7 linked regions of the Ovis aries genome follow. The protein of the gene in region 6 purifies or fractionates together with the protein of the main gene of each other region. This does not show direct contact. Links are inferred from orthologs where the notes say so. Each region holds a gene or a part of one and is shown on either strand. Other genes may lie near its edges.

Region 1 (4,013 bases), on a different chromosome or scaffold from region 6:
GAATGTCAATTACTGCTTCATCATTATCAATTTATTTTGCTGTGTGTTGTTTGGGTAATGAATAAAACTTAATGCAAAATTTTATCAACAATATTTTTGAACCCTGACTTTTCCAGTAACTAGTCTTTAAAAACCTGTATGTGACTGATACATTTTAGACACAAATTATCACCTCCACTCATCCTCCAAAGCAGGTATGGACAAAAGTCCACTGTATTACCACCACCCTCAACCAATCTTGTGCAATGATATTTCATTGTTATTGTTGAGTTTGCTATAGAAAATAAAAAAGGATGAGGAAAGTGGGCCACTGAAGAGAGCCACTGAGCTAGGGGATTGGAAGCAAGCAAATCTAAAAATGAATTTCAAATCAATGAGTTTTGTTAGTTGTTCTGTTCTCAGAAAAATCACTTTTATTTACCCAAGTTAACATTTTGAAAACTGAAAGTCACTCAGTCGTGTCTGACTCTTTGCAACACCACAGACTATACAGTCCATGGAATTCTCCATGCCAGAGCACTGGAGTGGGTAGTCTTTCCCTTCTCCAGGGGATCTTTCCAATCCAGGGATCAAACCCAGGTCTCCTGCATTGCAGGCAGATTCTTTACCAGTTGAGCCATGAATTATATGTATTTTAATGATTCGCATTCGTCCATTGAATATTTAGATTTATAAAAGTGAGAAGTATAACGGCATAAGTCGGGCAGTCATAATTTTTTCATGTTTTCTTTTCCTTTATTTAAGAAATGGTTCTTGAGCGTCTGCTATACTCACGGAAATTTAAAACAAAGCAGGGCATTTTGGAAAGGTTGGTGCCTTAAAATGATTCTGCTAAAATGTGAAGGCGCTGCTTTTTATTACCAAATAATACATGTAATAAACATCCATGAGCCCCACTCCATCTCAGAGCTTTACCCCTAGAGGTGAGGAGAGGCTCAGGGAGGGGTGACACTTAAGGACTAGATGAAGTTCTTTGCAGATATTACTTGGTAATAAAAATGCTGAGCATTTATTGGTTACTTTTTTTAGGCTGCAAGGAAATGCCCTGGTGGAAAATATCTAAAGCAAACTGTCAAGTGTCCAGTTTTAAAACAGAGGACAATGCTTAGTGTACAATATTTTTGGCAGTATGATCCCCACTGTTCTCCAACTCACAGAAGCTTAAAACCTTGGCACTAGCAAAGGAAACTGCACCATAGCCTTTGTGATATGTGTTATCTGCAAACCCACCCTACAGATGAAAAAAAGGACCTTCCTCCTCATCATTATATTCATATACCCTTTAATGCTTTCTTCATGTATCTATCAATATCACCTTTTATGTGACAATGCTAAGCCACAGAGATATAAAAATGAATAACACATTCTGCCATTAACAGTCTGGCTCAATAGGCATTTATTGAGAGCTTCCCACATATTAACAACTGCAAAGGAATAGCATATACACATGTTATCTAGATTTCAGGGAGAGCTTTCTGAAGATACCAAAGTTAAATTTTAAGGAACTAGCAGGAGTTTCCTTGATGAAGTGGAGGGAGGGGAAGGACTTATCCAGGCCTATATCCAGAGTATGTGTGGGAGGCAGGAGCTGAAAAAACAGGCAAGAGCCAGAACATAACAGGCCTATACATCAAGCTAAGGAGTTTGGATTTTATTTTGAGGTGAATGGGCGACAACCGGAGGATTTTCAGACGAGGACTAACATGGACAGATGTTTTGTCATTGTCAGGCTCACCCAAGAGTGGACTTGGGTGACTGGAAGAAACCCAAGGCTTAAATGCTGACAAACCAGTTAGGAAGCTATTGCCCGTAATCTTGGTGAAGAATGATGGGAACATAAACCATGTCAGAGGCAGAGAGCATGGAGAGCAGAGACCTATTTGAAAAATAGTCTATAAATAGGCATGACAGGATTTGACTACTGGACATGCGGGGGTGAATTCCAGAGTTTCAGATTCCTCCCAGCCTCCTCCTTCCAGCTTAGGCAATTATTTGGCTAGTGATACTGATGAGTGCAGCAGGGCACATGAACGAAGCATACTGATTTTTTTTTTTTTAAAGGAAGGTTGGGGAGTCTGAGACCTGTGGGGCATCCAAGGGGAGTGGTGTATGAATCAGTTATAACTAGACTCTGCGCTTTCACGTTCAAGGCATTGACAAGACTACTCCATAAGCATGTGTATCTGGCACTCTCATTTCAAAAGAAACAAGGCTTACCGATTTGAAAAACGAATATTTTTCATGCTAACCCCCCAGACACACGCTGAAAATCTAAGAGTTTAGCATTAATAACAAAACATTATGTTCCCTGCTGTCAAAATGACACTGCAGATCAATGTATTTAATCTAGTAAGCCAAACGCAGGGTTGGATTGGTTTCCTCCTCACACCCCTAGAAAATAGCGGTGTACCTGGTGTTTAGATCCAGGAATTCCTTTTAGCAGGTTGGAAGAGCAAAAGCTGAGAAATGCGCCCTCCCGTGGCAATGGAATGAGGGGGCTCAAGTACCCTTTTTTTCACCAAACAAAGCCCTGTAAAGAAATGCAATTTGTGGGGATGAGAAGGCCACAAAGCTCGTACTGCTATACCGCAAAACCAAATGAACCCTCCCAGAGGCCGGGACCCCTTACCTGTCACGTCGGCCGAAGGACAATTTCTCTTTCTACTCAACAAAACACAACCCCAGACTTGACAGCTTGCAGTAAGTCCCGCCCGGCAACAATTAAACACCTTGCAAGCCAAAATGCGTACACAATCCGTAAGGTCTCCTGCCGGCAGGGCCGGGCTCGCACCACGTGGGTGGTTGGGGCCAGCAGGAGGCACCAGCCGAAGGCTGGAGTGGGAGGCGTGTTCTTACGGGGGAGGGCGGAGCCTTCGCAGTGGGCGGGGCTTAGGAGGACCTGGGCTACCAGCCGCCTCTCGCCTACTTTGCTCGTTTGCCTTCGCCCTTCGAGCCGCCACGTAATGCCACGTCGCCGCGCATGCGCATCTCAACTGGTGGCGGACGCTGTTTCCGGGCTTAGGGGGCTGGAGCGGCCGCCGAGTAGGCTGTGGCGGTGGCGGCCGGGGAGTGCAAAGTGCAGGCTTGGGGGTCGGGCCCTGCGGAGGACAGGGGAAGTTATCTCTTCTTTCCCGAAAAGGCCGGTAGAGCCCGTGGCTGAGCGGCAAGATGAATTTCCTCCGCGGGGTTATGGGGGGTCAGAGTGCCGGACCCCAGCACACAGAAGCCGAGACGGTGAGAGGAGCGGCGGGTCCGGGACTTGGGAAGGGTCCGGGCAGAAACCGGGACGGAGGACATAGGGGCCCGGAGGTCACCCCCCTGCGCGTCACCGTGGGCCGGGAGTCTACATGCCGCCTCCCCTTTTGCCCCCGTGCCTCTTTTCCTCTCCTGAAACCCGCAAGTTATTCCCTCACACCCGCAGCACAACCCCCAGCGCGGCGGCTTGGCCCTGCTGACAGCAGCCGCGCCCCGAAGCTCCACAGGCCGCTTGGTGGTGGTCCGCGGTGGTACCTCCGGGAAAGGCATCCATCCTGGGCAGAAGTGGCCTGACCTGCCTCCCACGCCCTTCGGGGCCGCGGGCCTGTCCCTCCCTTTTCGCCAGTGTCTTCACTGGCGGTGATTAACCTAAAGTCCACCTCCCTCGCAGTCTGGAATGGGGCTTTGAGGAAAACTGCAGGAAGGTTTAAACCCAGCAGTTGACCAGAGCAAGTGGCTAAGAATAATACGATAGTTTGGGTCACAAAGCCACCTGCCCCTGCCCATTCAACTAGAGGCAGGTCGTTCTTTCAGGTGTCATTAGTTCGGACCCCGTTTTTCAGCCTCGCCCACTATTTGGGAAATACTCGCTTGGTCGTTGTGGGGATCTTTGGCGCTCAAAATGCTTTGGGAACACGCGTCCCTTCCATTCTCCCCATTCAGAAGTCTGAACTCGTGTAAACAGGATTTGCAGCGTCACTTTAAAAAAATTGTTAGCTACTCAACACAATTTTTGATAAGTTGGTTCGATTTTAGGT
Region 2 (3,500 bases), on a different chromosome or scaffold from region 6:
GTGGTTTTCTGGGAGTATGAAGCCCTCCGAATGAAGAGTTTAAGCTGTACACAGAGATGGAGTTCAATCAGGATCAGATATCAACAATGACCTTGCTTATTCCAAGTGATTTGACCAGACACCGGCTGAAGAGAGCTTAAGTTGAAAAGGAATCAGTAACATTGTCACCGGAGAAGGCAATGGCACCCACTCCAGTACTCTTGCCTGGAGAATCCCAGGGACGGGGGAGCCTGGTGGGCTGCTGTCTATGGGGTCGCACAGAGTCGGACACGACTGAAGCGACTCAGCAGCAGCAGCAGCAGCAACGTTATCACTAAGATTCTGATAGATGTGAATAACAGGAAGAAGAACGCTGGGGCAATCCAGAAGAATAAAAAGTGGGAAAGAGGCTGAATGGATACACACTGCTGACTGTTTTGACTGAATCTCATCCCAGCTATGAATTCAAATAGTAGATCTATCATTTCAGAGAAACAAATCTCTTTTAATACAGAAAAATTACACAGTGAAAAAAAAAAAAAAAAAAGCATGTCAGCTTAGAAGACAACCCTGAGCTCCAAAAGGAACATACAGCCTGGTGAGACCACAGCCTAAGCCACACAGAGTGTGAGGTAACGGACAGCTTTTCTTCTAAGCCACGTAGTTTGCGGTAAGTGGTCACAAAACGTAGAAAACTAATACAGCCTGCGTGTCTCAGGGATGCTTCCAAAACCCCTTACCGCCCCAACCCCTTGAGAGTCCCGCTCCACACTCTAATGCGAGGCAGAAAGAGGATTCAGCAACACGCTCATCATGACTCACCTCCAGAAACTCAAACTCGTCCCCCTTAGTCAGGGCGAGCTCAACCTCCTCCTTTAGGGTCTGGATCTCGCTCCTCTTCTTGAGGATGATCTGGTAAATGCTGTCGAACTTGCTGGTGACCCTCTTCTCCTCTTCCTTTATCTTCCTTGTGGCGCTGGCCTCGGAGGCATCGATGAGAGCCTTCATCTCCAGGTATTCCTGTCTCAGCTGGTCCATCTTCCTATGTGCAGCCTCCTGAGAGGCCAGGACAAGAGGGCACCCGTTAGACGGGCCGAAGGGCTGGGCCCGACACGCGGAGCACCGCAAGCTCTCACCTGGGCTTCACGGAAACTCAGACGGGTGCAACCACTTTGGAGAGCAATCTGGCAAGATCAGTGAATTTCAAGGTGTTCATACCTTATGACCTAAATCCCAGAGGAAATCAACCCTGAATATTCATTGGAAGGGCTGTTGCTGAAGCTCAAATACTCTGGCCTCCTGATGTGAAGAGCTGACTCACTTGAAAAGAACCTCATGCTGGAGAAGATTGAGGGCAGGAGGAAAAGGGGATGACAGAGGCTTGGACGGCATCATCAACTCAGCGGACGTGAGTTTAAGCAGACTCTGGGAGATAGTGAAGGACAGGGAGACCTGGCGTGCTGCAGTCCATGGAGCTGCAAAGAGCTGGACATGACTGAGCAACTGAACACCACCATCACCACCACCACCTTCGGACCCAGCAACTGAGTCCAAAGAATGTACTCTAGAAAAAGACTGCTCCAGAGACACCCAAGAATGCTCTAAGCAGCACTGTTTGAAGAGCAAAATCAAGGAAACAACCTGAATGTCAGTCACTAGAAGACTGACAATTATTCCCTGGGATGGAATATTAAACTATGATAAGGGAAAAACAACTTATAGAAGACACGCAGTGAGATGCACCGTACCCAAGACTTAGAAACAGAGAGAACGGCGCGTGCGTGCTCAGCCACTTCAGTCGTGGCCAACTCTCTGTGTCCCCATGGACTCTCCGTGGCTCCCGGAAGAGAGGACGAGGGATACAGAAAGGGGAAAGCAAAGCCAGGGCTATATTCTCCTTGGCAATGTTTTATTTCTTAAGCTAGAAAGCAGTTCATGAGTAACTTTTTTTTCAAGGGTATGAAGCTGCCCTAGACAATTCCCTCTAGAACCGCACTACACGCAGCTGCAGGCCCTTGAACTACGGCCAGTCCAAGCTAAGGTGTGAGACAGAGTGACCTAAGAAGAGTATGGAACATCTCATTAATACCTTACATTGACCAAAATAACACTTTGGATATACTGAGTTAAATAAAATACCTTAACAGACCTAGTCTCATGCACTATTCAGATTAAAGTTATATATAAGGTCCACTTTGTATTTCTACTGGACAGCACTGCTCTAGAAGCTGCAGTTTCCCTTTACAGGTTGGGTCACCTCATCAGCTCAGAATCAAACTTGACAAAGAGAAACACACACAAGAGGGCCAGGGAGATTGGAATTCAATTTTTTTTTTTTTGGCCACACCATGCGACATTCAGGATCTTAGTTTTCCCACCAGGGATTTGAACCCAAGCCTCCTCCAGCGGAAGCTCAGAGTCTTCATCACTGGGCCACCAGGAATTCCTGAGAATTCGATTCATTTCTTAAACCAGTACCTGACCCTGCCCCTTTCAATGTGACCATCAATGTCCCCGAACACTCATCCTCCTTCTCCCCCGTCAGTAAGAAAACACCCCTGGGTTCAGATGGGCACACGGCTGCCCAGCCACAGACTACATCTCCCAGCGTCCCCTGCAGCTGGTCAGGTGACTACGCTGCAGCCTACACAACGCAAACGCAAGTAACAAGCGCAACACTCTCCCCCCTTGTCACCCCTCCTCACAGGCTACAGCAAAGATCTAACGGTGACCCAGTGGCAGCTAGAGACGGGGGAAGGGCAGGAAGAAGACGAGGGCCTGGAGCCTGATGGGTCACAGGCCGCAGACCATCCCACAGCCCGCCTGGCTCGGGTCCAGCCCTGAGCCGTCGCAGAGAGGAACATACATAGCGATCTTACTGAAGCCTCTGATTCCGAGGGGTATCTCTGCTCCAAGAACTTAGCCTGCCCGCCAATCAATACAGGCATTCTCACGTGCAATCTTTCACTTAAGCCTCGAGCTCACCTTCGGAAAGAGGCTCTGGAAGAAGATGGAAAAACTAAGGCTCAGAGATTTGCCAACAGGACCACAGTATCACAGGCTAGGATTCTAATCTAGATCTCATCTAATCTAACCACAGCTGTGGCAGTGAAACCAGATGCTGCCCCTCCAGAAAAGATGCTTAAAAATCAAACCTCCTCTCAACGTAAAAGCACTGTAACCTTATAAAAATTACGAACCTGGAAGGGAAAAACCTCTATAATTCTACCACTCCAACACCTGCACTACTATTCCCTGACTATATTTCCTCCCAGTCTTTTTTCCTACACTTTCTGTAATGGGCTTAATGGGGGCTCCCCAAAAGCTACATCTGTGTTCCAGAACCTGGAAACGCGACTTTACTGAGAAAAGGAGTCTCTGCGGATGTAACCAAGGTAGAAACCTGGAGCCAAGATGATCCGGGCTTACCCAGGTGGTTCTAAATCCACTAGCAAGTGTCCTTATTAGCGACAAAGAGCAGACACAGAGGGAGGAGGCAATGTGAAGATGGGGGCAGGGAC
Region 3 (3,964 bases), on a different chromosome or scaffold from region 6:
TCCAACCAGTCCATTCTAAAGGAGATCAGCCCTGGGTGTTCTTTTGGAAGGAATGATGCTAAAGCTGAAACTCCAGTACTTTGGCCACCTCATGCGAAGAGTTGACTCATTGGGAAAGACTCTGATGCTGGGAGGGATTGGGGGCAGGAGGAGAAGGGGACGACAGAGGATGAGATGGCTGGATGGTATCACCGATTCGATGGACGTGAGTCTGAGTGAACTCCGGGAGATGGTGATAGACAGGGAGGCCTGTGCTGCGATTCATGGGGTCACAAAGGGTTGGACACGACTGAGCGACTGAACTGAACTGAACTGAATATGAATTGATGTAAATGCAACCACAGTATATCCATATACTTGGCTGTGAAACTTTGCATAAAGGTGGAATCCGCCAGAGAGGTTGTAGAATGAGGAAAGGAGAGGAAACGACAAAAAATGGCAGCGGTCTGGTCCTTCTCTCCTGTCGCTTCCCTTGCCCTCCTTTTCTGAGCTCTCTTTCCAAAGGCTGTCTCAGTTTCCCTTCTAGTCCCTCACCATCAGTACTTTCCCTGAGTCAATCAACATACATACTCATATCCGTTTCTTCTGCTTCAGCCTCTGTGAACCACATCCAGACATGTAGTGTTCACAGTCACCCAAAATCCCTTCCTACATGATTTCGGTTGCCTTTTCCATTTCACTCGCTGATGGCAAAAACAGCTTTTAAAGGCTGCATATTTTGAGGGAGAGAAAAGTAGGATTACGGTAGTTACATTTACTGAAGAAATTTAAAACAGAAAAACTGTCCCAGGAGAAAAAAATTAAAAAAGCACCGCTAGCAGAGGATGGTTTCGATCCATCGACCTCTGGGTTATGGGCCCAGCACGCTTCCGCTGCGCCACTCTGCTGTTGCCGTTTTCACCCCCCAAGAATCATAGAAAGGTCTCTAGATGCCAGCCACACTAATTTCTTTACACAGCGCTCTCTAGTGTCTGCAAAAGGGCGTTAACGTCTAACCTGTTCTTATTGGCTAGTTACTGACAGAGCAGGCCCTTTTCATTGGCTCAATAAACCGGTTTGCCAAAGCAAACCAATAGGCACAAGCAGCGGAGTACGGCGGGAGCCAATCGCGCTGGAGTTTGTTGGGACACGCCGGCAAGCTGCCTCTCCAGTTGTCGGCTCCCCAGAGGAAAGGGGCGGTTGGTGTGGCCTCCATTGTTCGGGATCTAGGACGCCATGAGGTAAGGGTTGTGGGGTGCCCTGGAGAGGTTTCAGGTATTCGACCGAAAACTTTAGGAAGTTGGTCCGAAAGGAGTCGGCGGACTGGAAAGGGCCATGTACCTGGGGGTTGCACGGAAACCTGAGAACTCCGGCTCTAAGAGAAGGGGAGGTCGGGGGCAGTGGAGGCGGGGAAACTTGGCCGGGGATGGGGGGTGGGGCCCAGGAGTCGAGAGGCGGTTCCGACTGTTCGCTCTCTGGGGGGTTCAGATGAGAGGGTGTCCTCAGGTTCCAGGAGGAGCACCCCCACACCTCCTATTTAGACTGAGATGGCTGGAACGTGTCTCATTCATCCTCAATGCCAGTTGCTTGACATACACGATACGCCTGATAGATGCTTTTACTACATGAACGAATGAATAAGCAGTCACATTAGTCTGCGAAGTATTAGGGTTGGCGGGACCCGGCGATTATGGGATGTTTCTTGTAGGGCTCTCTTTAATGTGGTTTGATGTGAATCAGTTATCCAGTCATGGGGAGTGAGGCTGGACATTTGGAAGGTGTAGAAGTGTAAGTGAGAATGGGATCCTTTGGCTTCCAAAGGGAAGTGCAGAGCGATAGAGGTAGGCTAACCTGAAATCATACGGCCGGTACCGAGGAGATTGCTTCAATGAGATGAAAAGAAAGTTAAAATATGTTAATAATGCATTTCTAGGGGTGACAGAGGCCGCGGTCGTGGCGGGCGCTTTGGTTCCAGAGGAGGCCCAGGAGGAGGGTGAGTGCCAGTCCTTAGCATCTGTGCCCGTTGGTTTCCCTTTCAGTCATCTAAATAGGAGTGGAGTATCTTACCTGCCTTGTTGAGATCCAGCTGTAGTTTAGAAGTATTCTTCTCATGCTCTCTTGATAAATGAGTTTGGCCCCATTATGTGAAGTCAGTTTGATTTATGTGGTGAGTAATCTGGATTGTTTTTCCGCTTTTTAGGTTCAGGCCCTTTGTGCCACATATTCCATTTGACTTCTATTTGGTGAGTACGGTGTCTCTTCCCTGGTGGCTAAGAGGTTAAAGTGTCTGCCTCTAATGCGGGAGACCTAGGTTCGATCCCTGGGTGGGGAAGATCCCCTGGAGAAGGAAATGGCAACCCACTCCAGTATTCTTGCCTGGAGAATCCCATGGACGGAGGAGCCTGGTGGGCTACAGTCCATGGGGTCGCAAAGAGTCAGACACGACTGAGCGACTTAACTAACTTAACTTTGGCCACTATTCAATTGTTGTTTCTTGGAACCTGGTGTCTCCCTGTTAATGAAGTCATGTGGTAGTTGGAGTAGAAAAAGGGAAGTTTTGAGTCATCTGTGTTGCTTTACATACAAAAAAGTATAACCTGGGTGGGGAAGATAGGTCCTTCATTACAATCGACAGTAACATGATTATAATCTTTGTTCTGAACAGTTAATTGTATCACTGCCTTGTCTGTTAATATTAGGGTCACAAGAGTATAAGTGTTGTAGAATTATCTCTTTTTTTGTGTTGTGGCAACAGAAAAATCTGTTGCATATTATTTTTGGCAAGTAGTATATAGTATATTTCTTGTTTAGTGTGAAATGGCTTTTCCCCGGGTCAAGCCAGCACCTGATGAAACTTCCTTCAGTGAGGCCTTGCTGAAGAGGAATCAGGACCTTGCTCCTAATTCTGCTGAACAGGTATATTCTGTTGGTTTTCTTCCTGAGATTTCATGAAGGAAGCTAGAGAAGTAAATAGCTACTTGGTGAGATTACTGTTGTCAGAGCCTGAACTCCACAGGTTTAATCATTCTTATTTTTCATTGTGTGTAAAGGGAGAGCATCAAGTGAATGTATAAACAGATTACATGTGCGTTCATATTATTATTGGGGAATCTGTCGTTGGGATCAAAGTTTTCTCTTCTGGCATATTCAAGGCTGGGAGGGTCTGGGTGCTTTCAGAATCCGGTATAGGTGTTGATTCCTATTGAAGGAATTGGGGAAATAGTCAAACTTGATGAAAAGTTGCTTGGTATTTCACCTGAGGGTATTTTTGTTTCCTGCTATTTTTCAGGCCTCTATCCTTTCCCTGGTGACAAAAATAAACAATGTGATTGACAATTTGATTGTGGCTCCAGGGACATTTGAAGTGGTGAGTTTTTGAAGATCTAGTCCTAGGAAAGGGAAGTCATGGAAGTGTGAAAGTTTCCTTGGTTCCTGTCGCTTGATTCTTCAGATGCTTATTTAAAGCCACTCTTGGAATGGGAAAGTACAGTAGAATTCCTTTGTCGTGCTGGTCTTAGGGACCAGATTCATCATTGCTATCAGCTAGCTGTAATGAATCAGGCTTTTCATTGCTCATTTTGGAATATGATTTGAACTCTGCTACTTCCAAATCTGGGTAATAAGCTTCTCACTTGTAAGTTTTGTTTTTTCTTTCTTAAATCCCTTTTCCAACAGCAAATTGAAGAAGTCCGACAAGTCGGATCATATAAAAAGGGAACGATGACTACAGGACACAACGTGGCTGACCTGGTAGTGATCCTAAAGATTTTGCCAACATGTAAGTGTGCCTCTCTTTGGCCACAGCAGCAGAACATAGCAGTTGGATTTGAGGCATAGGGATTTAAATGGTGTGCTGTATGTGAAAGAATGTATGACCAGTTACTGCAGGACGGACTTTGCTCCCCAGGGGACATTCAGCAATGTCTGGAGATGTTTGAGGCTAACGTCTTCTGGTAGAGGCCAAGGTTGCTGCTAAGCATCCTGC
Region 4 (3,926 bases), on a different chromosome or scaffold from region 6:
TGAATTCAATCTTAGCTTGTGGCCAACCATCTTGAAGGGTGTAGTCTTTCAGCCTCAGTAATTAATAGTACAGCCCGGAGCAAATATAATCTCTCGAAAAGTTATTTGAAGACTTTTCCCAAATTACAAATTTGCAAAAGGAACAAAGTCATCCATATTCTCACTAAGCAATCTAAGTTAAGGGTGGGGCTATACACTTGTTCCCTGTTTTAGTATCTCCTTTCACCATTTAAATGACTATTTAAATGACTCACCTGATTTGGGGAGGCACCAAAAGAAAGCCTTTATGTAATTTAGCTAGAACTGCTAATCAACCTAAATCAATTGAATTTTAGTCCTTGCAATAGGAATAGATCACTTTAAGGGCCTTCTGATCTCCCCACTTCCCAAAATGAAATTATAGAAAGGAGCAGTCAATTTTAGTTTTATGACTAAAAAAGACCATCTAAGCAGTTTTACATGACATTATATATGTAAAATAAAGTACCATTTCCACTTAATTCAGTCTTCAAATATTTTTTATTGGAAGGCCATGCATTGCCTTCATTTATTGTATTTCAAATCACTGTACATTTACTTTTGTGAAAACACTGCCTGCATTTTCTAGTACAAAAAAAACCTAAAAATTGTTTCAGGAATGTAGAGAAATATCCAACTTAAATAGCGAAAAAGTGCACCATAATTACTGCTGCACTGCAGTCATTTCTGCATTTCCCATGTTTCTTAAATAACTATCTTGTCTGATAACACACAATATAAAGAGCAATTATGAAAAACAGACATTTACATATACTTCTAAAGTCTTATTGAGAATATCCTGTTGGCATCGGATAACCAATCATAGGCGCAGCTGCAGTAGCAGGATATGCATATGCCTGTTGGTTCATACCATTGTGCATATTTGGAACGTTACTTCCATATTGCTGAGTGCTATCATAACCGTTCTGGTAAGTCCCTGTTGGATTACCAGTCCTAAAACTGGTCTGTATACCAGCAGACACGAAATTACTTCCAAAGCTCCCATTGGTGTAATTTGCAGCACTGTAAACACCATTCTGAGTTTTTGCCCCAAAATCTCTCTTAAGCAGACTAGAGTAACCGCGGTCATAATTTTCCCTGTCTCTAAATGTATTAAATCCACCCCTTTTGCCCGCAGAGTATCTGTCCCGCCGGTCATCCTTCATGCCTCCTCTACCCCTGGATCGACCTGTCAAGAAAAAAATTGCCAACTGGTTATTTCCATGGAACCAATCATTACTAACACAGAAAAGAATCTGGTAGCTCTATTTCAGAATATCTTCTCAACTCCTTTCTGCCCTCACCCACCAATGCCATTCAAATAGACTTGTTAACAATCATGTGACTCCACACCCACCAACATGTCTTTACCAAAGGTTGGTCTTACCTGAACCTCTGTCTTCGACCAACTGAAGCAACTTAGGATTAATTGCTTGATTAGCTTCCCGAAGCACAGAGATAAGGTCGCTCACTTGCTTTATGTTATTAGGTGTAAAGAAAGTGTATGCTGTGCCTGTTTTGGTACTGCGAGCAGTTCTTCCAATTCGATGAATATAATCCTCTGAGGAGTTAGGGTAGTCATAATTGATGACAAATTTCACATCTTCCACATCTGTAAGGTGTTGCAGTGTGGCAAAATAGCAATGTACAGGGTTTTGCACACCACAACAGCCAGACCAAAAATAAAAAGTTAGACAATTGTATTCCCAAGAAGGTATGGGCTGCAAAAAATACAGTTAAAATGGTTATCCATTCCCTGTAGGAATACCATTGAGGTTGAAAGTGGGGAAGAAAAAAAAACAAAGAAAAAGCACACGTCATCTGTATACCTTATTACCCACCCAATGATGGAGCGTGTCAAAAGGACGTGTGTATTTCCTAACATTCCCAAATTAGCAAGTCCCCTTACAGATCATCAAGTGACATCTGAATGCTTCTGCGCAGTAGGGCCACTTAAAAGTTCACAGCAACCTCCTTGTGTGCTCTCATTTTGAGGACCTTTCATCAAAAATGTACATGGTCCTTTGCGTTACACACTCATCAGAAGTTCAAAATTCTGGCCACACTGCTTGTCTTGCCAAGACCTTACAACCGCAGCTGCAAGAAAAACATACCTGTCCCCCAAAAGTTGTTTTTATGCACTGTGTCTCGTCTAGGCAAGCGCTTCCAAGAAGCCAGGATTCACTTGAGAATGTGTCTCTCTCTGGCAGGTCTCGACATGACGACTACTGTGTAGGTGAGGGAGGAACTTTCAAAGCACTGCTTTTTTTTCCCACTGACTATGTGTGAGAAGTTGCTCCTGCTCTAGATCTTATGTGCCAGTACTCACCAATTTGTAAAAGGCTTTTAGTACCTTTTAAAGCTGCTCTCTCCATTTCAAACTTGAACAAAAATTTCATTGAACATTGAAGTTTGGAAATATTTCTTCGACATTTCAGCAAACTCACTGAAACTCAAAGACCCACAGATCACAGTAAACAGTTTGAAACAATGCTGTACCATGGCAGTCATGCAAAGCATGGGACAGAAGAAATACCACGGCAGTGAACTGTGAGGATAACTTCCATTTTTTTCCCCCGGAGAGAACAGTTTACGGGGCAGAGGTGGTATGTTCTGCCTTTTGAAGATTACTGGCACACTTTCAGCTTTTCACCTCTCTAATCGACTGGAAGCAGCCAGCCGATCACTAGTCCTCCATCCCCCTCGAGTCCTCCGATTGTCATGCCTAGGCCTTGCCACAAAGACTGCACCTTTATATGAAAAAAACTTAGAAAAAATGCAGAGGTTAAAGAAAGCAATAAACTTTCTTTAAAAAAATTATATGGGTATCTTCTGGGAAACCAAGCCATGAATTCGAGTTTGTACTAACCTAGCCCTCTGGAGGCCACATCTGTAGCAATCAGAATAGGAGCCTTTCCATGTTTGAATTCTGCAAAGGAAGGCACATATATAGCCATCAATATGAATGGTATTCTAAGTCTTTGGGGGGTGGGGGTGGGACCCCACACTTAAAATACTTACCATTTAGAACCCAGTCACGTTCCTGTTGACTCTTGTCACCATGGATACCCATGGCAGGCCACCTAAATTAAAGAAAAGTTACATTAAGAGACTGGCATTTAAAACCTTGTAGATTTTAACCATGTGCTTTAACCTTTTTGGTCACAAACCCTTTTAACTCCATCTGAAATAAGGTATACAGTCTTTCCTATACATGTATACTACCCGATAATTTCCATCTTTGAAACTCAGAACTATCAACCCTGATTAAACTTTGCCCCTTCTCCTGAACTCAGCTCTAATCAATATCTGCTTTAGTGGAGGACAACCACACATACCCATCTCTCCTCATTTTTCTAGTCAGCTCATCACATCTTCTTTTGGTTTCAACAAAAACAATGGTTTTATTCTCCTTTTCACTCATGATCTCTTCCATTAGACGAATAAGCCTTGAAAGAAAAAATATTCTCAATTTTTTAAGAAGTTCATGGTTATGAACGAAACACCAACTTTTACTCACAGGGCTACAAGAGAACACCTGCTTAACCCTTTTAACCATTCTACCCTTTACCCTTAAACCACAAGACAATACTCTTTCTGTTAAGAATATAAAAAATAGTAATAGCCAATTACCTGAAGGAAGCAAAACAATTTTGAGCATGACAGATTTCAAATTAGCATTTAGATTCCACCCAACTGAAAGTCATTTTTAAGATAACTTGTGAAACAGTGACTCAACTTGTAAAGTTGTCTTCAGAGTTAGTCACTTACTTTTCATCCTTTTCTACGTCATGACACACATCCACAATCTGAAGAATGTTGTGATTTGCACTCAGTTCCAGTGCACCAATGTTTATATGAATATAGTCTTTCAGGAAATCTTCAGCAAGCTGTCTTACTTCTTTTGG
Region 5 (4,174 bases), about 38 Mb from region 6:
AAATGCGCTTTGTCTAGAAATAAGGCGGCTGGCGCCACAGCTTTCAACCTTGAGAAGAGTCTCATCCCCTAAACCAACTACAGACGCCGGCCCGAAGCCAGGCCCGCCACGGGGTCTCTGTTCGCTTCTCCTTTCCTTCCCGCCAGGTCCTGACTCAGGGTCCGGCGAGGAAGATAGGAAGCGGGGAAATGCGGGTCTCTGGGGCTTATGCGGTATCTTAAGCAACACCACCGAGTGAAAGCTAGAGAAAAAAAAAAAGACACCGACTTCACCGCCTCTGAGCTGCTCCGGGTCCCGGGTCTGCGACGTCTCCGGCCCTGCGCGCCTCAAGCTCCAGTCACATCCGAGAGGGAGGGGGGCTGGGGAGCAGCGCTGCGCGCGGGGCCGCCGCTGGGGGGAGGGGAAGGTGGCACCGCCCACGCCAGGCAGCCGCCAGGGGCGGGGTGGGCGCGCGCCCCGGGGGGTGGGGCCGCGCGCCGCGCAGTGCCCGCCGGGAGCCCGAGCCGGAGCCCGGGCCCGACGGAGGGGGGAAAGCAGGGGGCGGTGACAGCGGCTCTTAGAGTTCGCGGCGTGGCGTCTGGTGGTCGCCCGAAGGGAGGGCGAGGAGGGAGCTGAGGGCCGCGACCTAAGCCTACTCAGCGGAGGTGTTTCCTGCTTTGCTGCCGCCTTAGCGACTGGCGCCAAAACAGGACTCCGCCCACTTCCTCGCCCCTGGGGTTGGGTGCCTCCAAACGTTGGGGGTGGGTGGGAGGAATCGGGAACTAAGAACGAGCACCACTTTCGACTACCTGAAATGTGGACCCCAAAAACATTGGCCAGGGTTAGGGTGGTGGATCGTTAAGTGTAATTTGTTGACTAGAAGTCGCTTCGGGTGTTTCCGGAAGGGGTCAGTCGGTTCTCCGCGCAGAGAGGGGAGGATAGGAGAAGGTGGGGGAGGGAAAACACAGTGGAAGAGACTACAAAGATTTTTTTAAAACTGGGGACCGAGGAAAAGCCATCGAAGCGTAGCTGTAAGGACCACTTCCCGGGATGAGGGGGCTGGACTTTTGGGTTGAGGATTAAGCTCCTCCCAACAGCGTTAATTTCAAACTGCGCGACCGTTTCTCACCTGCCCTGCGGGGGCAGTCCCCAATTCCGAGAGACAGAAATACGCAGGACTCGAGCCTTCCGCAATTTACAGAGCCCTTTTACGCAACTGACGTCCAGCATCAGTGCTGGCCTTAAAGGGGGAGGGGCACGTACTTGGCGCTAGGAGGTCGTAGAGCGTTCCCGCCATTGGCGGCGGTTAGGACGTTTACGCAACGGCCTGACGTAGGGAAGACGCGTTAGTCGGGGGGAAGGTTCTAGAAAAGCGGCGGCAGCGGCTCTAGCGGCAGTAGCAGCAGCGCCGGGTCTGGAGTGGAGGTGCTCCAGCGGTGTTGTTTCTCGAGCAGCGGCAGTTCTCACTACAGCGCCAGGACGAGTCCGGTTCGTGTTCGTCCGCGGAGATCTCTCTCATCTCGCTCGGCTGCGGGAAATCGGGCTGAAGCGACTGAGTCCGCGATGGAGGTAACGGGTTTGAAATCAATGAGTTGTTGGAAAGGGCATGGCGAGGCCGTTGGCGCCTTACTGGAAGTCGGCCATCCGCCTCCGTGGGAGAGCGGCAGCGAAATTGGGCCACTTCATAAGCGGTTGGTCTCAGGATATTTTTGGAGAGGGGTCGTTAGCAGAGGCCTAATTGTACAGCACCTTCCCCACCCTCAGCCTCACGGCGCCATTTCCCTTTGCTGGGGGTGGGGGATGGGGAGCTTCCACATGGCGGACGCAGCCCCACTTTACTGAAAGTGGGGCGCGGAGGCAGGAATTCCTACTCCGTTTTTAAAGAAGGGTGGTTTGGGGGTCCTGGCGTCCCCGCGTTGGAGCGTTTCGGCGGGTTTTGGGTCCTAGCGAACCGGGCTGCGGAGCTTCCCCTCCCCCCTCCCGGGAACCGGATTTGGCGGCCGCCATTTTCATTTCTCTCCTTCCTCGCAGCGATTTCTTTTTAATTCTCTAGATTTGACTAGCTTGACTTTTTCAGTGAGGACTAGAAGTGGGTAACTATTCATTTCTTTTTTCGGACTGTTTTCGTGCTGTTTCGAGGTGGATTCCGAGTGTGTAGGGAGCTTGGAGCTTTAAAGTCCTGCGCACCTCATTAGAGGCTCGCTCCTTTCCCCTCGATGAAATGGCGCCATTGCGTTCAGGAGCCGCACCGAAGGGCGGGGGGAGGGGCGGCGTTCTCCTGGGCGGTTTCGCTCGGCTTAGGAGGTAAAACCCTCTAGGGTGTTGGGCCCGGTTTCACGCGTGCCACGGTATAAAGACCTCATATTTTGTTTTTCAGTCCTTGTTTGAGTAACAGTTTTACCTGCGTTTCCGGTGATTGAAAAGGCAGTTGAATCGTAGAAAACATAAAATGAAAATTTTAGAGAAGATTATCGATTTTGCGGGAGGCCGTGGGGAAGGTGGTCTTTGGGGGGGGCGGTGTTCGGTTCAGAATCCTTTATTTTCCTGACGGATTCTTTTTTAATCGTATAATTTATTTGTATTTTAAGTAGTATTTTTACCGGGGAATTTAGTCTTTACTGGGTAAGGTTACGGGTGTTTTTTTAGTGATAAACTTGAAATTATGAGTTTAGTTGTACTCTGATTAAAACATGGCTCGGTCCCTCAATGCGTGTTCTGCTGTATACAAAACTTTTATTAGGCTGAGCCACTGTGTTTTTGAACTTTGTCACTTGCTTTTCTCGTTTATGTTTGCAATCATGGTTGATGATTACATTGATAAGCATAAGGTCTCAAGCGAAGGGGGTCTGCCTGGGTATTTTCATTGACCCTAAGCACGCTTATAAAATAACTTTGTTTGTAATCGATAGTGGACAGCGGGTAAGTTTGGAAAATGAGGTAAGTAATGAGTTTTTGCCTTTTGTTAGTGATTTGTAATGTTGTAGATGTATTTTAGTCTCTTTATTGGGGTTTTAAAAGGCCAGTTAACTGACAAGTGTTTGGAATAAATAAAATATGCTTAAGTGAAGTGTACAAATACCAGTATGTCAAGTTACCGTTTTAATAGATTGTTCTTTTAAGTGTTTGATAAGCTAGTTTGAGAATTTGTCTTTTCAAAAATTTCAGAATCTTAAAAGTAACTGTACAGGCAAAGAAATCTCTGCATTATTACTGTTTTCTAACATGTTGGGAGAATATCATGCATGGAGAGAAACTTGATGGAACTATGGGTTGAGTGTTGTAGTTCTACTTAATTTACCTACGTGCACTTGGTGGCTAACTTTCGTTTCTGAATGTTATTTAACCTAGTCAACTGAAAACCAAATAAAATGATCCAAGCTTCCTTAACTGATAGCCCCAAATACAGAGCTATTAATGTAGCTTATATGCGTGCTGGTTTGTAAGGATTGAGATTTCAGCTCAGGCTCTCTTCTCACATGAAAGTTGTTTTATGCTGTGTAATTTGCCAAAAGACCACTGAGTTCTACATGGTGAAGTGTAAGTCGTAGTGATATTTTGTAACTAGAGAGGATAGTCACAGTGGTCATTTAAATATTTTTATGGTTTTTGAAAATTGAAGTTACAGTGTCTTTTACTGTATTTGTCTTTTGGTTCAGTAATAGTGGATTGGGCCATCAACAAAACCAGCTATGTTAAAATATGTGCTTTAGAGACCGTCAATCATAAAAGTCATTTTATACTTTCGTCAGAAAAGATAAATTTTGAGGCTATTTTGCCACATATATTGAACGTTTAAGATTTTCTCTGGAGAGTTGGTATATGAGGAAAGAAAGTCAATACTAAGTTTTTCAGAGTTTTGAAAATTGAGTTACATTATAATCACCACCAGAGGGAGCAATGAAGGGAAACTCATTTCTTAAATGCTAAATCCAGAAACAAATGGGAACTGGGTTATAAAGCGAAAGTTGTTATATTTTAAAAATTTGTATTTGAATATGTAAAAGTGAACTCTGTTCTAAGTTATAGGATCGAATGCAGATGTTGATAAGACTCTTAACTTTACAGTCACCAGGGACTAGATTTGCTCTTCTTTCTTCAGAAAGATTTTTTTTAAAACTAAGTGATGCTATATTTGTTTAAACTCATTTAATGTCAAGTAAGTTTATATCAAGCATAATGATTTTGAAACGTGTAG
Region 6 (3,500 bases):
ATGAAGTAGCAAGCAACATACTCTTATGAAGATTCAAACACCCATCGCACCCCAGGAAATACTCACTTCGACTGGGTCTGTTTGGTGATATTCCGAATGGTGGCACCTTCTTTTCCTATAATGGCTCCAACGAACTGGGTGGGAACCAGCAGGCGCAGAGGCAAGTCGCACGGCTTCTGCTTGGACACTGACCCTGGAGACCCCTGCCTTGAGGAGCCCCTCTGCCCAAACCCACGCCGGCCTCGGGGCTGCTGGGAGGGGCTCTGCTGGGCCGCCATCTCGTCGGGGATGTAGGCCACTCTCAGCGTGAAGGTCTCCAGCTGGAACCCATTCAGCTTGTCTAAAGCTCTGAAAGTCAACAAGGAGCAGGGGGTGGGAAGAGGAACCAGGCTGAGTAACAGCAATACCACCTCTTCCACTCAGGATCCCTAGCTCTAAAGCTCGTGAATAAAGCCACTGAACAGATAGCAAATCCAGAACACACCTAACACTCCCCACCCACATTCCCTTTGAAGGACACATGGGGAAAACAGACAGGTTTCCAAGGGAACATATGAGCCATTTACCAGTAAAGTGAAAACACATTTTGTCAAACTCTAAATGGGGACTTCCCTGGCGGTCTAGTGGTTAGAACTTGGTGCTCTCACTGCTGAGGTCTGGGTACAATCGGTAGGCAGGTAAGTAAGATCCCAGAAGACACACAGTGTGGCCAGAAAAACCCAAGCAAACAAAATACAACGTTTACTAAGCTATTCACCATGAAGTCAGTAACAGCCTGTGAGGACCCCCACAGAACAGGAGGAGGGGGCTCTCCTCTGGCTAGTCTTTCCAAATCAGAATAGAAAAGATGTTACAATACACACCTCCCTTGCTTTAATGTCTTAAGAACAAATATTTAAAACACTTTCAGAATCAAAGGACAAAAATCTCTGAGCCACTCACTGGAGGAAGTAGAACTTAACACTCATGTTTCTTACCACTATAAAATCACTCAATACCTATTATGAGCCTGTTCTTGAGGGAAAAAAGCAATCCATGACCTTGTGGAATTTATGATCTGATTTGAGGCAGGGAGACAGGGGTGGTGGTGAACCAAAGGAAACGACGGAAACTGTCTTCTCCCTACCGATCCATCCATCCACGCACCCATTCATCTATTTCGAGAGGAGCTTTACTTTTACTTTTTTTTTTTTCCTCCCATTTTAGAGGCTTGTTATGGAAAACTACGGAAATTAAAAGATGCTTGCTTGCTCCTTGGAAGAAAAGCTATGACCAACCTAAATAGCGTATTGACAAGTAGAGACATTACTCTGCCAACAAAGGTGCATCCAGTCAAAACTATGGTTTTTCCAGTGGTCATGTATGGATGTGAGAGTTAGACTATAAAGAAGGCTGAGGGCCGAAGAATTGATGCTTTTGAATTGTGGTGTTGGAGAAGACGCTTGAGAGTTCCTTGGACTGCAAGGAGATCAAACAAACCAGTCAATCCTAAAGGAAATCAATGCTGAGTATTCATTGGAAGGACTGATGCTGAAGCTGAAACTCTAATACTTTGGGCACCTAATGTGAAGAACTGACTCATTTGAAAAGATCTTGATGATGGGAAAGATTGGGGGCAGGAAGAGAAGGGGACAACAGAGGATGAGATGGTTGGATGGCATCACCAACTCGATGGGCATTCAGGAGCTGGTGATGGACAGGGAGGCTTGGTGTGCTGTAGTCCATGGGGTTGCAAAGAGTTGGACACAACTGAACGAGTGAACTGAACTATGGAAAAGTACCTAATCTTAAGCAAACATCTCAATGAATTTTCACACAGTGAGCATGCATCTCCAGATTCAGAGCTAGGACACCCCAGTGTCCCAGAAGCCCCGCCAGGACCTCCTTCCAATGACTGTCCCTTCTCTAGGCTCCTCACACCAGAAGGATTCTGCCTGTTTACATTTCTATGTAAATACCCATGTCTGGCATCAACTTATTATTTATGAGATAAGTGTGTAAGATTCCTAAGTTTATAAGATACATTGGTGTGTTCTAGCTTATCTACATATTTTAAATGTGAAGAACTCATTAAAAGTTGGCAGAAGATACTGCCATATAGACATCACCCTAATAATACACACTCCCAGTGCACAACAGAATTTAAAAAAAAAAAAAAAAAAAGGCCTCACGCTTTCTCCAGGGTTACTCAGAATCTTTGCTCAGGTGGTATTCCAGTGGGCCCTGAGTTCGACCCAGGCAAGGAGAGAAAAACAGGCATAAAATGCTCTGTCTGGTTGCTCAGAGTGATCATTTGTGGTTCACATACTGCTTTATCTGGAGATTTTTCCATTTCAAAGAGAAAGAGAATAGACCCAGCACCAAAAAGGCTAACAAAACCATGAAACTGCATGGCAGATGTAGAAAGCCAGACAAGACACACCAATGTTCTCAGGACTCAGAATTCTGCCCTTTTCGCACATCAGTGGCCTGTTCCATCACTGTCCTACAGGTCTATGCACACGAATTAACTCTTTAAAAGGTCCCAGTCATACAGACTAACAAAGTATCAAGAAATTTCTATCACTATTACCTCCAAGACCCTTCCTAGAGTAACTATTAACTGTGATAACTTCTGCAAATGGACCAGTTCTTTCCATCTGTTCACACAGGTGTTTAAGTGTTCAGTGCCTTCTTAAAGTGTAGCTGAGATCATGATATACATGGTCTTGTGATTTGTTGTTTTTCCAAATACAATATATTTTGGGATATTTCCATGCGAGTTCTGTATCAGACGACATTCTTTTCCCGTGTGTGTGTGTGTGTGTAACTGAATCACTTTGCTGTACAGCAGAAATTAACAAGACATTGTAAATCAACTATACTTCAATTTTTTTAAAAAAAGTAGCTACAGATGGCATTCTTTTCATAAACTTCATAGGTGATAGCAGACACACAGAAAAACTTGTTTTACCAATGCCCTGATACAAGAACCTTCAGTTAACACATTTTTCCTACCTTCTTCCCTCTCCTTCTTTCCTAAAGAATATGTGCATTAAGGGCCCGTAAGTATTTTGGCTATTTCTAAAGGAAGACAACAGCTAGAAATTTTATTAACATCAATGATGTACATTTACTACAGAAAGTTTGGAATTACAGATGTTTCAACAAATTAGATAAAGCTTTTCAAAGCCCAGGAGAAACCTATCCCTGAAGCTTCTTTCGAAGACAAGAGGAGAGCCCAACGCAATGAAGGGCTCAACTCGACCTGGTACATAAAAGGACAGTTCACAGTAACATCCTTCCCCACTCTACAACTGAGCACTTCAGAAGAGAGTAAGTGACTGTGCAATTAAGTCAGTAATGTTACTTTAAAAAAAGAAGTTGGGGGCTGGGGAGCCCTTCCCTGGTGGCTCAGAAAGTAAAGAATCAGCCTGCAATGCAGGAGATGTGGGTTCCATCCCTGGGTCATTAAGATCCCCTGGAGAAGGAAATGGCAACCCTCTCCAGTATTCTTGCCT
Region 7 (3,500 bases), on a different chromosome or scaffold from region 6:
TTGAGGACAGCCATTAGCATTTTGTAAAGATGGTAAACTGAGTGTTAACTTCTCCCAGCCAGTACCTTTTCCCCTCATTAAATGTTTAAAGTCATCAGGGGGGAGGGGAAGGGAAGAGTTCAACTTCATAATTTTAAGTCAATTGTCAATATACATTTAAGTTTTTAAAACCTAAATGTTCTAAGTGCACAGTAAAGAATAAGCTGTCCAGAAAGCACACACTTAAATTTTCTCCTCTTGGGAGTTTCATAAAGGGATTTTGAACCTTGATGGCGAGAATCCCAAAACAAGAGTAAAATGAATTCTTTTTATTGCAAACAAACGTCTAAATTAATTTCTCCACCCACTTTCTTTAGAAAGAAAAAGAAATCAGCAGGCTAAGGAGATACCCATTCAAGAACTGACATGATTAAAAATTAAGATATAAATGGGTGACTCACAATTTCATTAGCTTACAAAGATGGTGGAGTTAACTACTACAAGCACACTAGTTATACAGTATTTTGTGGGAGAAGGGCATACAGACATAGCTAACTTCATATAGATCCCATTAGACAACTGGATTTACAACAAGTTTTTTTAATAAGAAATGGGCAAAGCCAGCTTTCTTTTCAGAATCAAAATGCAGAACAAATGGAAAAATTATGGTACTTAAACCTTCACAAGTTTGAGCCTCCACAAATAATGCAACCAAGTTTTACATTTTTTAACAGCCCTTCTACATACACTCCATCTTCTCTATCTTCGTTCCAAATTTTATCTTCATTCCCAAATATGCCAATTCCATCGTTACTTAAAAAGAAAGAGCCTTCCCAGTTACCGTCAAAAACTACTATTTAGCTTACCCCTCCACTACTCAGCAAACTACAGAGAGGATGGAGTGTAATATGAGCAGTACAGAGTCTTATGCAATTCATGAGGACCACTAAGTCCTTACATGAATCTGGTTGCTAACATTTCTATTATATTGTGACAATGACTCCCGACTGTTATCTCTGTGAGAAATGGGGGGGAGTAAATTCTTAATAAAAGACACCAGGTACAAAGCAACATTTTACTTTTGTTGTGATAAAAAAAAAGTCACATTTTACAGATAAAATGTAGAACCCTGAAATACTGACACATTCTCTTATCGTGCACAATGCTGAGGTTCTCTTACGATTCACTTTAAAACTGCAATTAAAAATGTACAAAAAAGAAAAGAAAAAAAATCAACCCACAAAGCTTCTAAAAAAGGAACCCGCAGGCACTTCCTCTTGTGGAATGTTTAAAAAGTTAGCCTACTAAAGAAAACAGTCGACTTCTTGTGAAGGTTTTGGAGAAATATGTATCAGTTCGTTTTATTTGGGTATTCAATAATATCCTTGGTGATAATGCTGACTCCATGGCTTCTGACCCCAGAATTGCTGTAAGAGAAAATTTTTTTTTTAAAGAAAAAACATCAATAAGCCACTCAAATTGCTTTTAGGAAATGACAATCTAATTCAGAGTAATTGCTGGAAACAAATTTATACCTGTCATTCCTCTGATTTATCAAGCCAGATTTAGTTAGTATTAACATCCCATTATCAATACACATTACAAAAGGAAACACATTACGACTTCGGTTAGTTTATACAATTAAAGCTATCAGTAAAAAAAAAAAACGTATGAATTAAATATTACTTTATTAAAAAATATTAAGTTACAGCAAACTCCAACCTATCTCGCCTTCAAAAGATAGTATACAGCTACAACTGCAATACAGCTCACAGCTTGCCCTGTAATACTTATTTATAAACACTTCGATCCCTAGACAAGATCTTTTTTTAAGATTGATTCTTATGAATTCAAAATACAATTAAATGTACATAAAAGCACATAAGGAATTACTTACACCCTGCTGCCACTGGTTGTAGCCCTGAGATTGATTTTTGTAGCCACGATTGTTTCCTCGTCCTCTGAAGTTCTACAAAAAAGAAAAAAAATCTTTAAAGAACTCAGAACACAAGTTGCTAGGTTTATCTAAGGGGCAGAGGGAAAAGAGGGGACACAGCTGCAGAAATGGATGGATGGGCGGTCAACCATGAACCTCTGAGCACTCTGCTGGGTTTCCTTTCAGGTGATTAACTTATTCACTAAGAGACATCACACCTGACTTGCTCCTACTAGCAGTTAACGCACCTAAAAATAATTATGCATATACACTGTATTCTTAACTGAGGCTGCCCATCATATTTAACCTTTTACACTAAATTATATAGAGAATCAGCGTCTGCAGAGATCTTAAATGGTTACCTGGTTGTAGTTCCCTCTGTTAGGCATTCCCCCTCTGTTGTAGTTCCCTCTGTTTGAGTAGCCGCCGCGGCTGGGAAAGACAGGGCCGCGAGGGTACGGATAGCCAATGCCACCGCTGCCACCACCGCCACCTCCTCTCTGTGGCATACTGCCCCTCCTGTTGTATCCACCACGATTCCCAGGAGCTAGAAAACAAGAAACATCTCATTTAGTAGTGTGTTGCTGCCTTCTTTACATGAGACTTAGGGTTCTTTTGGACCATTCCTTCATTTCAGGAGAAAAATGTTTAACCATTCAACATAACCTAGACATGCTTACTAAGACAGCTCAGATAATGCACATCAAAAGCTTCCTATGTTAAATTCAGCTAAGTAACATATAGACCCAAACTGGAAGTGTACCATTTGTTTCAACCTTGGACCAAATAATACTCAACATAACTTGCCTCCTCCTCTGAAATTTCCACCGCGCATATTGAATCCGCCACGTCCTCTATGGCCACCGCCTCTGTTAAACTGGTTCTTGCCGCTCTTATTTTTATTGCTCTTCTTTGAGCCTGTGTTCTGTTTCTTTTCCGGTGGAAGAGCCTTTTTGCTTTCTTCTTTATATTGCTCCAAAAGTTTCTGGGCTTCTTCCTTCTGAAGTTCAACATAGGTTATTTCATCAAAGCACTCAGCTACTTCTGGCAGAGTAAAGTTTCCTGCAAAACATAAAATCATATTAACCTACAAACCCACTACATACACATTCACAACCCTAAAGCCCAATACTCTCAATCAGCTGTTAATTCTTACAAAACACACAACACCTAGTCATATTGTAATTACATTTTCTTACAAACACAAGTTAAATATATGTTCATTTACAGTTAATTTAACTCTTGAAAGTTATTACTGACATTAAGCTAACAGATACAAATCACAGGATATTTAAGGTAATAGAACTTCATGCCTTTCATTTTGAGGACTGCATGTTCTGGTAGGTCTTTTCCCTCTACTTCTGCTTTCTTCTGTGTTCTTTGCTTATAGTCTTCATCTTTTGGGCAAACTACAACAGCTTTTCGTTGGAAGCCTGCAAAGAGGCACATTTTTCTCCTCTGGGCAGCAGCAGACACATTTGTCTTTCAGAAAAAGAGAAAAAAAAAAAAGTTTTTAACCTCAAACATTAATTCTACAATTATCAGTTTTTTCAACTTCAAAGTTACAGCTTACCTGATCCAAAAT

Evidence for each region.
Region 1: the proteins of IGF2BP3 (region 6) and G3BP2 purify together in Homo sapiens (affinity purification with mass spectrometry; 3 studies listed by BioGRID and IntAct, with this or other methods). This does not show direct contact. The link is inferred for Ovis aries from reciprocal best matches to the Homo sapiens genes IGF2BP3 and G3BP2.
Region 2: the proteins of IGF2BP3 (region 6) and TRIM25 purify together in Homo sapiens (affinity purification with western blotting; 3 studies listed by BioGRID, with this or other methods). This does not show direct contact. The link is inferred for Ovis aries from reciprocal best matches to the Homo sapiens genes IGF2BP3 and TRIM25.
Region 3: the proteins of IGF2BP3 (region 6) and ILF2 purify together in Homo sapiens (affinity purification with mass spectrometry; 3 studies listed by BioGRID and IntAct, counting the BioPlex papers as one, with this or other methods). This does not show direct contact. The link is inferred for Ovis aries from reciprocal best matches to the Homo sapiens genes IGF2BP3 and ILF2.
Region 4: the proteins of IGF2BP3 (region 6) and DDX5 fractionate together in Homo sapiens (co-fractionation; 3 studies listed by BioGRID, with this or other methods). This does not show direct contact. The link is inferred for Ovis aries from reciprocal best matches to the Homo sapiens genes IGF2BP3 and DDX5.
Region 5: the proteins of IGF2BP3 (region 6) and HNRNPA2B1 purify together in Homo sapiens (affinity purification with mass spectrometry; 4 studies listed by BioGRID and IntAct, with this or other methods). This does not show direct contact. The link is inferred for Ovis aries from reciprocal best matches to the Homo sapiens genes IGF2BP3 and HNRNPA2B1.
Region 7: the proteins of IGF2BP3 (region 6) and HNRNPU purify together in Homo sapiens (affinity purification with mass spectrometry; 3 studies listed by BioGRID and IntAct, with this or other methods). This does not show direct contact. The link is inferred for Ovis aries from reciprocal best matches to the Homo sapiens genes IGF2BP3 and HNRNPU.

What each region holds. Positions count from the first base shown.
Region 1 is NC_056059.1:91,313,467-91,317,479, forward strand, and holds the start of G3BP2 (ras GTPase-activating protein-binding protein 2), read right to left. Parts: upstream 2,801-4,013; 5' UTR 2,630-2,800; intron 2,531-2,629; 5' UTR 2,411-2,530; exon of another isoform or gene 1-2,410. Other genes in the region: USO1 (general vesicular transport factor p115), read left to right, coding at 3,169-3,234.
Region 2 is NC_056064.1:7,425,239-7,428,738, forward strand, and holds part of TRIM25 (E3 ubiquitin/ISG15 ligase TRIM25), read right to left. Parts: intron 1,036-3,500; coding exon 802-1,035; intron 1-801.
Region 3 is NC_056054.1:104,112,174-104,116,137, reverse strand, and holds the start of ILF2 (interleukin enhancer-binding factor 2), read left to right. Parts: upstream 1-1,164; 5' UTR 1,165-1,215; coding exon 1,216-1,220; intron 1,221-1,912; coding exon 1,913-1,972; intron 1,973-2,179; coding exon 2,180-2,222; intron 2,223-2,790; coding exon 2,791-2,895; intron 2,896-3,268; coding exon 3,269-3,346; intron 3,347-3,654; coding exon 3,655-3,757; intron 3,758-3,964. UniProt on the Homo sapiens protein: Chromatin-interacting protein that forms a stable heterodimer with interleukin enhancer-binding factor 3/ILF3 and plays a role in several biological processes including transcription, innate immunity or cell growth.
Region 4 is NC_056064.1:48,405,207-48,409,132, forward strand, and holds the end of DDX5 (probable ATP-dependent RNA helicase DDX5), read right to left. Parts: coding exon 3,790-3,926; intron 3,468-3,789; coding exon 3,357-3,467; intron 3,102-3,356; coding exon 3,040-3,101; intron 2,948-3,039; coding exon 2,888-2,947; intron 1,631-2,887; coding exon 1,406-1,630; intron 1,208-1,405; coding exon 804-1,207; 3' UTR 501-803; downstream 1-500. UniProt on the Homo sapiens protein: Involved in the alternative regulation of pre-mRNA splicing; its RNA helicase activity is necessary for increasing tau exon 10 inclusion and occurs in a RBM4-dependent manner. Binds to the tau pre-mRNA in the stem-loop region downstream of exon 10.
Region 5 is NC_056057.1:71,303,418-71,307,591, forward strand, and holds the start of HNRNPA2B1 (heterogeneous nuclear ribonucleoproteins A2/B1), read left to right. Parts: upstream 1-1,374; 5' UTR 1,375-1,542; coding exon 1,543-1,548; intron 1,549-4,174. UniProt on the Homo sapiens protein: Heterogeneous nuclear ribonucleoprotein (hnRNP) that associates with nascent pre-mRNAs, packaging them into hnRNP particles.
Region 6 is NC_056057.1:32,872,107-32,875,606, forward strand, and holds part of IGF2BP3 (insulin-like growth factor 2 mRNA-binding protein 3), read right to left. Parts: intron 349-3,500; coding exon 67-348; intron 1-66. UniProt on the Homo sapiens protein: RNA-binding factor that may recruit target transcripts to cytoplasmic protein-RNA complexes (mRNPs). This transcript 'caging' into mRNPs allows mRNA transport and transient storage.
Region 7 is NC_056065.1:31,694,709-31,698,208, reverse strand, and holds part of HNRNPU (heterogeneous nuclear ribonucleoprotein U), read right to left. Parts: coding exon 3,489-3,500; intron 3,398-3,488; coding exon 3,229-3,397; intron 2,978-3,228; coding exon 2,723-2,977; intron 2,463-2,722; coding exon 2,278-2,462; intron 1,949-2,277; coding exon 1,877-1,948; intron 1,407-1,876; coding exon 1,353-1,406; 3' UTR 1-1,352. UniProt on the Homo sapiens protein: DNA- and RNA-binding protein involved in several cellular processes such as nuclear chromatin organization, telomere-length regulation, transcription, mRNA alternative splicing and stability, Xist-mediated transcriptional silencing and mitotic cell progression.